Linked DNA regions of Kluyveromyces lactis. Each later gene encodes a partner of the first gene's protein in a complex. Links are inferred from orthologs where the notes say so. Each region holds a gene or a part of one and is shown in the gene's direction. Other genes may lie near its edges.

Region 1 (3,384 bases):
CCAGTTTATTCCCTAACGGAAGATAGAGCCTAAAACCCATTTTTTTCCATTGCAGACACAATATAAGGGGGATTTCTCGTCACCCTGGTTATTTATTGTTTTCGGTATTTTCAGATTTTCCAAATTTTTCTCTTTTCTATTATTATTCGTTATTATTATTGCCATTATCACTGTCACTATCTGTAACATCGCTCGTTTGACTCCTTATATTTTCCATGTTCCGTTTGCCTTTTTTGTTGTCTCTTTTTTTCATTTCATTTATTTCGCTCAGATCATAAACTATATTATATCGTGTCCCGTTCCAGTGTGGAAAATCTATCCCTACCATTATATTATACCATCCTTAACGTTAATCAAACGAAGGAACTGAGTAAAGCGTCTAAAACCATATGGATCCTTTTTTGTTTTCTCTAAATTTCATCACCATGTTACCATTTACAAAACCATTCTTTTTCTCTCCCAAACATAATAAGAATAAGAATGATAAGAGTAATAATAATAGTAGTATTAATTATTAATTTATTTAAATGTTCTAGTTGACCTAGTTCAATATATATATATATATATATTCGTACATATATACTCGAATAAGAAGTAATATCTCACAACTCTTATACTAAAAGTCACAGCGTCTGCATAATTCATGTGTGGTCAACGTCACTCCTTCCATACCTGATTAAACACAAGGGGGTAGTTGACAAACGAGACAAAATGTAAGTTTGGATGAGAAGGTGTCAGAGTTACCAATAACAAAGATTTTCCCTTTTCTGTCGGTCCTATCTTTGTTTATTCTTTTTTGTCATATTGTTATCAATTTCGTGCCACAGATGTAAAGAAAGACAAGATAAAGTCATTGCGAACAAAGAGTGTGTGTTCTGACATGATTATTACTTAGACATTGTTTAAATGGGATTAATTCGTATGAGTCACGTCTTTTATGTCCTGTTGCTACCAGTTCGGAAGATAATGTTTTGAATCAAGTATTGGAAGAAGTTCCGTTGTTCTTATCTATGGTGCATCCAATTCACTATACCTGACTAGTAATAATTCATTATTTTCGGGTAACCTTACTAAACATTTAATAACCTTAAAACTAAATCAACAACAATGAATACATCCAAAGTAGTAGAACGGTACCTTAGATAATTCATAAACCAAAGTCCATGTTCTAACACTGTCAAACTAATCTCATTCGATTACAGTTAGTATTAATCCACAATTCAATTTATTAGTACGAATGGATGACCTTGAAAGCGAGTTTGGCCCCATCAGAAAGTCGGTACACAAAGTGAACGCAGATGAGATCATAGACGATGTTAAGCTTGATGGGAAGATTAAGAAGATTAAATTACAACGCCCTGTCAAAAGATCTTCTATTGGTGCATCTAACGACTCTGAACTTGATACTGCAGTTGTTACCAAAAAAACACGTACTGAAGATACTGCAGCACAACCAATTCCTTTGTTTGGTATAAATAAGACACCAGAAACAAAGACATTTAAGAGAATGAAGCACTACTTGACAAGAAAACTAAATGGCACTCTTGGGTTTAAGGAAACTAAGATACCCGACTTTTTGGAAAACACTTCAACTCAAGTTGACAAGCTTCTTCGACAATGCATCATTCAAAAAGAAAGTCATTCGGCCATACTCATCGGTCCTCGATCCAATTATAAAGATATGATAATAAAGCATCATTTGGAGGCTTTAAGATCGACACACAACGAACAATTCATTGTTATCAACTTAAATGGCTCTTTACATTCGGAAAACTCTGCAATTAACAGTATTGCTGAACAATTAGAATTCGAACTTGCAAACAGAAACGTTAATTCATCAAAAAAAGTTAAAGCAGAAGAATTAGGTTTATCTGAAGGTACTTTGACAGAAGTCTTTGATAACATTCTAAGATTGTTGGACTCATTTACTGTGACTCCTCTAAAGGGTGTACACTCACAGAAAGAAAAATCAGAGCACGTAACGCTAGTGTTCATATTTGATGAAATTGACAAATTTGCTGGACCAGTGAGACAGACACTTTTGTATAATTTATTTGACCTAGTAGAGACTTCAAGGATACCAGTTTGTGTTCTTGGTCTTACTACAAAGTTGGCAATCATGCAATTTCTTGAAAACAGAGTGAAATCCCGGTTTTCTCAGCGAATCATATATATGCCATCAATCTCGGATTATGATCAATTCAAGCATGTATTCAAAGAGCTCTTAGAGGTGGATGATTCAACAATTCCTGATCAGCTTCGATGGAACCAGTTCTTGGATGAGACTTTAAAAAATGACGATTCAGAGATTTCTCGTATTCTGCGTCAGAACTACGAGAACTTCAAAGATATACAACTATTACAAAACGCCATATTTCCCACAGTTGCCTTGTCTAAAACATATTCTGAACTAGTTGAGAGCATCAAAACATGCAGCAAAATAAAAAAGTACTTGGCGAATCAACTCTTAGATTCAATTTCAGCTAAGATCTTGTCACTATCTGATTTAGAGTTAGCTATTTTGATATCTGCTTGTAGAGTGGCTTTAAAGAATGACGAACATATCAATTTGACTTTGGTACATGAAGAATTTTCTAAATTGGGGAAGATTCATAAGACCACCTTCGCTGATAGGTTCAAAATGTGGACTAAACACGACATGAAGAATGTATGGGAAAACTTGGCAAACCAAGAGCTTATCACTGAGAGAGGTGCGATTTCTGTCAGATTCACAGAAGACTCTGCTATACAATCAGCAAACTACAATTCATCCACAATGAAGGCACCATTTGATCTTCGAACCTATCAAGTTTGCGTAACGCTGCAAGAAATGCGATTGACGATACCCAAGAGCTCATTTTTCTACTCATGGACTCAGTTATAGATGTAGGAAATATGTACATATAATTAGCAATTCAAGCATTTTCTTCTCGACAAATCTAAACTCAAACCCATATTGTACGGTTCTTGTCATTACGATCGAACAGCATCTTGTAGTATTAAGAGCATCTTCAACATCGGTGTCATTAATCAAAGGTTTTTCATGATAAACCGTGTTCAGCTAGGTTTTATTAATGGCTCCAGGCACGTGATCCACAATTTTCGTCATGGATTGCCTTTTTCGCTCCCACAACCACAAATTGGTTCCTTGGCCCAGTTGGTTAAGGCACCGTGCTAATAACGCGGGGATCAGCGGTTCGATCCCGCTAGGAACCATTCTTTTTTTGCACATACCATATTTTTTCTTCATCATATCGCTAGTTCATAGTAAAACTTTTGAGTATATTTAAAGGTTTTACGATTTATTAACGTATCTCATCAATATAGACTCAAATAGAGAAGAAGATAACCAAAGATCAAGTTTCGGCTGGTCTTTTTAGAGGG
Region 2 (3,162 bases), about 1.2 Mb from region 1:
CTATGGGCAGTATCTCATGAAAGCGATCAGATCTAAACCAATGTTTGCCTATCTAGACTTGAAAATTGATAGATATTGGGATGTCCTGATTTGGATGGATAAGTATAATTATGGTGGTAGAGCATGTCTACAGATTGAAGATAAAGAAGTTCAGAGTTTCCAGGCTTATTCTCATTGGCATATAAAGGATTTCTTACCTGCAATTTATCAGCAAGAGTTTGATGATTGGTTAGTAGTCATACTGGATAGTATGGTTAAGACAAAGGAAGCCTATCATGAGCGAAATGCATCCACACAAAGATTAACCCAATTACCAAAGAATACACTGGCTGATAGTGACGTAGATAGTCAAACTGACTCTCTAGGCGGTTTTACCCATAATTTTTCAAAAGCTCTCATCAAAAGAGCAGAGAAACTTTACAAGAACCAACAGGAATATATTCTTGATCCTAACTTCGGCAAGGATTATCTATCTCCCACAATTCCTGGGTCGCATCTAGTTGTGAAAAATCCGCTTCTTGAGTTGGTCAAATACTTATCACATATTTTATCACTTTCCAGTAATCATTTATTAGAAGGAAGGGCGCTAAGGAAAGAACTCCTAAAGACATTTGAAATACGCGAATTCGACAGATTAGCTGAATTCAAGGATCCAAGTACATCTTTTGTGATCCCTAGCTTCATATGTGAGCATTGTTCTTATATATCAGATATTGATATTTGCAGAGAAAGTATGGAACGAGTCTTCATATGCCAGAGCTGCAACAGATCCTTGAATAAAAATCTCATTGAAGAGCATGTGATCGAACGACTTCAAGCCCAAGTTGCATCGTTTATTACCCAAGATGTTAAGTGCAATAAATGTCATAAGATCAAAGAGGATGCAATGTCACCTTATTGTCCATGTTCAGGAAAATGGGAACTTGCCGTATCTAAGGAATCTTTCATGGCACAGTTACAAATTTTCAAGAACTTGGCGGAAAGCTTTGACTTTAGAACATTGAAAGAAACTTTGAATGATTTCTTATAGGTTCAAGTCCCTGGCATCTGTTGTATTATCTTTTAGTCTGCTGATGTGTTTACATTTAACATTTATGAGTGTTTATGTGTTAAAATAGATCTGAAAATAAAAAATATATATACACATAAAGGAAATTGTTCTGAACTTAGCATGGTTGAATTCTTCCCACCTGAATGAAGACGCACTATGTGTTATTTACTGCGAATCAAGTGACCCAGAATGGTACGACCTGATGTTAGATATAGAGAAGAACAACTAGATTTTTTGGAAGCGTTTGTCGATGCCGATCCAAAACTGAGCCCGCCAATCTTGTTCATAGAAGGGCCGCATGGAAGTGGTAAGACACATACCCTCAAGAAGTTTTTTGCTTGCAATGAAGAAATCATGAACATTTTACTACCAGCGAAAGATCTGATATATAGCAAATCCACCTGTCAGCGGTTGGCTACATGTCTGCGTCAATTGCTACTGAAACAATTTCCTAGTGTGGAAACCACTGATCTTGATCCATTTGAAGCCGAGGACGTATATCTTTTGCAGAAATTTATCAATAAATTGTTTATCCGATTTAATCACTTGGTAGAACGCGTTAACCTTTATGTTATACTCGATGGGCTGGATGATAATTCACAGGTGAACTTGGAAACACCTACGCAACTCATGGCATTACCTGGATCTATTCTTCCACAAGCGATGATTCAACTTCGGTTAATAATCTCGTTCTCCAAATCCTCATTCTTGTCCAATTACTCAACGTTCAAGGTTCCCACGATCTTCTTCCCCAAATATAAACCACTGGAGATTGAATATATTGTATCACAAACACCAGGTTTCTCGGATGACCCGCTGTTATTGGAAAAAATGGATGAGATAGGATGCGGAAATACAGAACAATTCAGGAGTGAAATCTTCGAAAAATATATCCATTTCCTGATAGAATCATTAATTGTATATACAGGTTATGACCCCACTGCACTGATAGACATAATGAGAATTAAATGGAGGTGCTTTGTACGATCTTTAAATCAAGAGAACATTAAAAATACAGTACAGTTATACAAATCTAACCTGGAGCTATTCAATAAACCTAACGAAAGACTAATACCACAAACCAGCCGTTCGGATCAAAATTCACTAAGTGGTACCGGGTCTGTTGGTTATTCAAGCCATTCTCTTTGTTTCATGGCAAAATATCTTCTAATAGCCGCATATTTGGCATCATATTTGAATCATCGGTACGACTCTAAAGTCTTCTCCAAGAAGAGTCATCTAAGGGGGGGTAGATCATCTTATGGGAGAAGAAGCAAACCAGCGAATAACCCGAGATACCTTCAACCATCAGGCTTTTCTCTTGAGAGAATGCTGGCAATTTTCCAATCGATATACCCAGTCAGAGTTTCGAAGGAATTGTCTCCAGATTTCTTTCAAAGAGATGTTCATATGAAAGCAAATGTGGAAGTCTACGAAAACGTGTCCGAATTGATTACTTCTCAACTTCTTACCGGTCTGAACATGCACAAATTGGGGTATCTTCACGAAAGACTTAAGTTTAAAGTTAACGTCACTTGGGATTACATATTACTAGTGGCTGGCAGTGTTGATTTTGATATTTCAGAATATTTCAGTGATGTTGTGGAATAAACTCGGCATTTGTAGTAGTTATATGATTGTTGCATGCCGTTCTTTTTTTTTCGATCTCATTTTACTCTATGGAATGCTTCTTCAAATTTAGGTATTTTTTATAGACATTGAAATTGATACGTAGAGAGAAACAACCATAGATTCAGATATTTGACATACCAGCAAGCAGAAAGCAGCAGCTTTCATTGAGTATGAATGTAAATAAGGGATCATCTGATCAAAATGATAGATCTGTAATTACCAAATCTAAGGATAAGCTTCAGGTCAAAAAGACTGACTTCAACGCAGATAGCTATGACGATCACTTCGAGGAATCAGACTACCAGGACATTTCTTGCAGCGACGACAGTAGCGATAATGAAGAAGAAATAGAAGATTTCGTACGAAGAGGTCAAACCGAAACCGATGAAATCTTTGATGGAAATTCCTCAGAGATTTCAGAATCTGACAGCGCTGTTGCTGATGATTCAGTATCAGAAGAAGAAATAAATGGTAGTAAC
Region 3 (3,952 bases), on another chromosome or scaffold:
ACTGCCACGACGTAAAGTAGATTGACCATGTTGACTTTTCTTCTCGACAAAGCAGCCAAAAATTTGTTGTATTTTGCACTTTCTGCATTGTCGTGATCCAAAACACCATCGTTGTAAGTATATCCGTATGCGTAACTTAACACTATTCCCAAACCTAGGTCATCTAATAGCTTTCTATAGTTCAATAAGTATTGCGCTCCTTCCCTGTGACAAGTCATAGCCTTTGTAGAGTTATGTTCCTCCTTCCAAGTACCGTCAGGCTGCCATAATTCTTGAGAAGCATGTTTCATGCTGCACCATCCGTAAACTCCTGTCTTTATATAATCGGGCACGTCGTGGACCTGTGAGTCTACATACCGCGTGAGTAAAAGAATCTCTGCTGTTGTGAGTCCTGCTCCGTTATTAATATCAGACAGTTTTGCACTGACAACAGAACTGCTGAGCTTATCAAATAGTCCCTGCAAAATGTTAACATTTGAAGTGTCCAATCGTCCTAAATATAACGAATTTGGTGATGCGGCAGAAATAGCAGTCAAAACAAGGACAAAAACGATAATTCCCACTGAAGTTATAACTCGCAGCCATAACATCATCTTATCAAATGCGTTGAGGTGTCCTAGGGTCACTTTTAAGTATTTCCATAACGATATATTCCTCGCCAAGACACTTCCAAACCTCATTTCTTTTTATAAAGCTCCTAAAAGCTTCTTATGTATGACTCTATCAACGTGGGAAATTGTTCAATTTTTTTTCCAGCAGGCCAGCTGCCTTTATTCTTCTGTGTTTATCTGCTTCACCTTCGTTAATTGACTGGCAGAATTCATTCTGTTTATCATGTCATCACTCTTGAGATAAATCTCTTGATCTGTTTCTGCCAGGGTTCAAGGTTTAAAATTAGACGTCAGGAATGGGAAAACTATGTATCATTTTACACGTATTTGATGTTTCAAGATCGATCTTAATTCAGTAAACAGAGGAACCGTGTAACAACCAATATGCTATGAGATAAAAGAATGCTACGGAAACAGGTAGCTGTCATTTCAACATACTTGGCCAGCAAGTAACTACTACTAGTTTAGGAAGGAATTACTGCATTTTAACGGTTATCTGATTATTTTTCCTTTTTATTCCGTGGTAGCGAGTTTATTAGGCATGGCGTCAACGTTAGCTGAGTTTGAAGTTCAATGGGAAATACAGAAGACAGACTTGAAGGGGAATCTCATTGCTGAAACTCCTAGGCGAAGAAGAAGAGGAGATGCTACAGAACATGAAGTGATTAATTTGGTACGATACGATGGAGTCAGACTTTATCCTGGTGTTACGATTGTGTGCAAGGTAGAGGGTGCAGACGAGTTATCAGCGTATATGATCCATGAGGTGCGATTGAATACAAGCAATTACGTAGAACTCTGGTGTTTGAACTATTTGAGTTGGTACGAGATCAATGCTGCGGAAAGATATAAACAGCTTGATGGAGAGTTTTATGAGACTAATAAGGAAAAAGGTGACAAATTTTTTGAGGAAACCTTCGCGTCACAATCGATAAAGAACGAATTGTATTTGACAGCTGAGCTTTCAGAGATTTATCTACGGGACTTGCAATTTGTAGCTAATATTAAAAATGAAAAGGAGTATTTAGACTCTGTCAATGAAGGGAAAATGGATTCTAATATGTTTTTATGTCGATCTGCATGCTTGCCTTCAGGAACTAATCTGGCGGATTTAGATATACATTTCTTTGAAGAAAAAATACGTTCCTCGAATCCTAAGGTGTCTCTGGAGTATTTGCGTGATATTACTTTACCCAAGCTTCCAAAACCTTTAAATAAATCCAAGGTCCACGCACGAGAGAAGGTAGTGGCGACGAAATTGCAGTCCGACAACACACCAAGCAAAAAAAGCTTTCAACAAACAGTGAGCAAAACCAACGCTGAAGTCCAACGCATTGCATCTACTATTGTTAACGAAAAGGAAGCTATATCAGATAATGAATCGGATTTATCTGAATATCACGAAAGTAAAGAAGAGTTTGCAAACGCATCCTCTTCGGACAGTGATGAAGAGTTTGAAGATTACCAGTCTGCAGAAGAGCTTGCAATTGTAGAACCTGCCAAGAAAAAGGTGAGATCTATTAAACCAGATATACCCATTTCACCAGTAAAATCACAGACTCCATTGCAGCCATCAGCAGTTCATTCATCTCCTAGAAAGTTCTTTAAGAATAATATAGTGCGCGCTAAAAAGGCATATACTCCATTTTCCAAACGGTATAAGAATCCGAAGGATATTCCTGACTTGAACGATATTTTCCAAAGGCATAATAATGATTTGGATATAGCTGCATTAGAGGAGAGATTCAGAACAGTTTCTGCTAAAGGCAAAATGGAGACTATTTTTTCTAAGGTGAAGAAGCAATTGAACTCAAGGAATAGCAAAGAAGAAATTGTCAAAGCTGCTGATTTCGACAATTATCTTCCGGCAAGAGAAAATGAATTTGCAAGTATATACCTCTCACTTTACAGTGCAATTGAAGCAGGCACTAGCACCAGTATTTACATTGCCGGGACGCCAGGCGTTGGTAAAACTTTGACGGTTCGAGAGGTAGTTAAGGATTTAATGACATCTGCAGACCAAAAAGAACTTCCAAGATTCCAATACATTGAAATCAATGGTTTAAAGATTGTCAAAGCAAGTGATAGTTATGAAGTCTTTTGGCAAAAAATATCTGGAGAAAAGCTTACATCTGGAGCTGCCATGGAATCTCTGGAGTTTTATTTTAACAAAGTTCCAGCTACGAAAAAACGTCCTATCGTTGTGTTATTGGATGAGCTTGATGCATTAGTTAGCAAGAGCCAAGATGTAATGTACAACTTCTTTAACTGGGCTACCTATTCAAATGCGAAACTTATTGTTGTAGCTGTCGCAAACACCTTAGATCTCCCCGAACGCCATCTTGGTAACAAGATTTCGTCCAGAATTGGTTTTACTAGAATTATGTTCACTGGTTACACGCATGAAGAGCTTAGAACAATCATCAATTTGAGACTTAAATATTTGAACGAATCTAGTTTCTATGTCGACCCGGAGACAGGGAGTTCGTACATGATCTCTCCGGATAGTAGTACTATAGAAACTGATGAAGAAGAAAAGCGAAAAGACTTCTCTAACTATAAACGACTAAAACTTAGGATTAATCCTGATGCCATTGAGATTGCATCAAGAAAAATTGCTAGTGTCAGTGGTGATGTGCGGAGAGCTTTAAAGGTGGTCAAAAGAGCGGTAGAATATGCGGAAAATGATTACTTAAAGAGGCTTAGATATGAGCGACTAGTCAATTCCAAAAAAGATACTAGTGGCAATGGTACAGGAAATGAAGAATTACAGAGTGTAGAAATTAAGCATATTACCAAGGCATTAAACGAAAGTTCGACCTCTCCGGAACAACAATTCATATCTGGTCTGTCATTTAGCGGAAAACTTTTCCTATACGCATTAATCAATTTAATTAAGAAGAAGCAAACTGACGTACAACTTGGTGATATCGTAGAAGAAATGAGGCTCCTCATTGATGTCAATGGGAATAACAAATACATTTTAGAGTTGAAACGGATTTTATTCCAAAATGATTCTGTTGATACAAAGGAACAGTTAAGGGCCGTGTCTTGGGACTATATTTTATTGCAATTATTGGATGCAGGTGTTGTAGTAAGGCAATATTTGAAGAATGAGAGGCTCTCGACGATCAAATTAAATATTTCCATGGAAGATGCGGAGCAATGCTTGCATGAAGATGAAATGTTGAAGACATTTTAGTATATGCCTTCAAGACGCCTTTGCTGCTATTATAATTGCTACTTAGGTTGTCATGTAGCGTAGCGGTTAAGTAGAATATGAAACTGCTTTTTCAACTATTTAATTATAAGATAGAAAGATATAATAAAGGATGCATTTT

Evidence for each region. Proteins that work in one complex are often made in the same cells at the same time.
Region 2: ORC4 (region 1) and ORC5 share a complex: the UniProt entries of both Saccharomyces cerevisiae proteins name them as parts of the origin recognition complex. The link is inferred for Kluyveromyces lactis from reciprocal best matches to the Saccharomyces cerevisiae genes ORC4 and ORC5.
Region 3: ORC4 (region 1) and ORC1 share a complex: the UniProt entries of both Saccharomyces cerevisiae proteins name them as parts of the origin recognition complex. The link is inferred for Kluyveromyces lactis from reciprocal best matches to the Saccharomyces cerevisiae genes ORC4 and ORC1.

Annotation. Positions count from the first base shown.
Region 1 is NC_006039.1:1,481,504-1,484,887, reverse strand, and holds ORC4 (origin recognition complex subunit 4), read left to right. Parts: upstream 1-1,237; coding exon 1,238-2,884; downstream 2,885-3,384. UniProt on the Saccharomyces cerevisiae protein: Component of the origin recognition complex (ORC) that binds origins of replication. It has a role in both chromosomal replication and mating type transcriptional silencing. Binds to the ARS consensus sequence (ACS) of origins of replication.
Region 2 is NC_006039.1:234,802-237,963, forward strand, and holds ORC5 (origin recognition complex subunit 5), read left to right. Parts: upstream 1-1,240; coding exon 1,241-2,662; downstream 2,663-3,162. Other genes in the region: POL2 (DNA polymerase epsilon catalytic subunit), read left to right, coding at 1-1,030; U5 snRNP complex subunit LIN1, read left to right, coding at 2,854-3,162. UniProt on the Saccharomyces cerevisiae protein: Component of the origin recognition complex (ORC) that binds origins of replication. It has a role in both chromosomal replication and mating type transcriptional silencing. Binds to the ARS consensus sequence (ACS) of origins of replication.
Region 3 is NC_006038.1:453,565-457,516, forward strand, and holds ORC1 (origin recognition complex subunit 1), read left to right. Parts: upstream 1-1,152; coding exon 1,153-3,813; downstream 3,814-3,952. Other genes in the region: ECM7 (Ecm7p), read right to left, coding at 1-680. UniProt on the Saccharomyces cerevisiae protein: Component of the origin recognition complex (ORC) that binds origins of replication. It has a role in both chromosomal replication and mating type transcriptional silencing. Binds to the ARS consensus sequence (ACS) of origins of replication.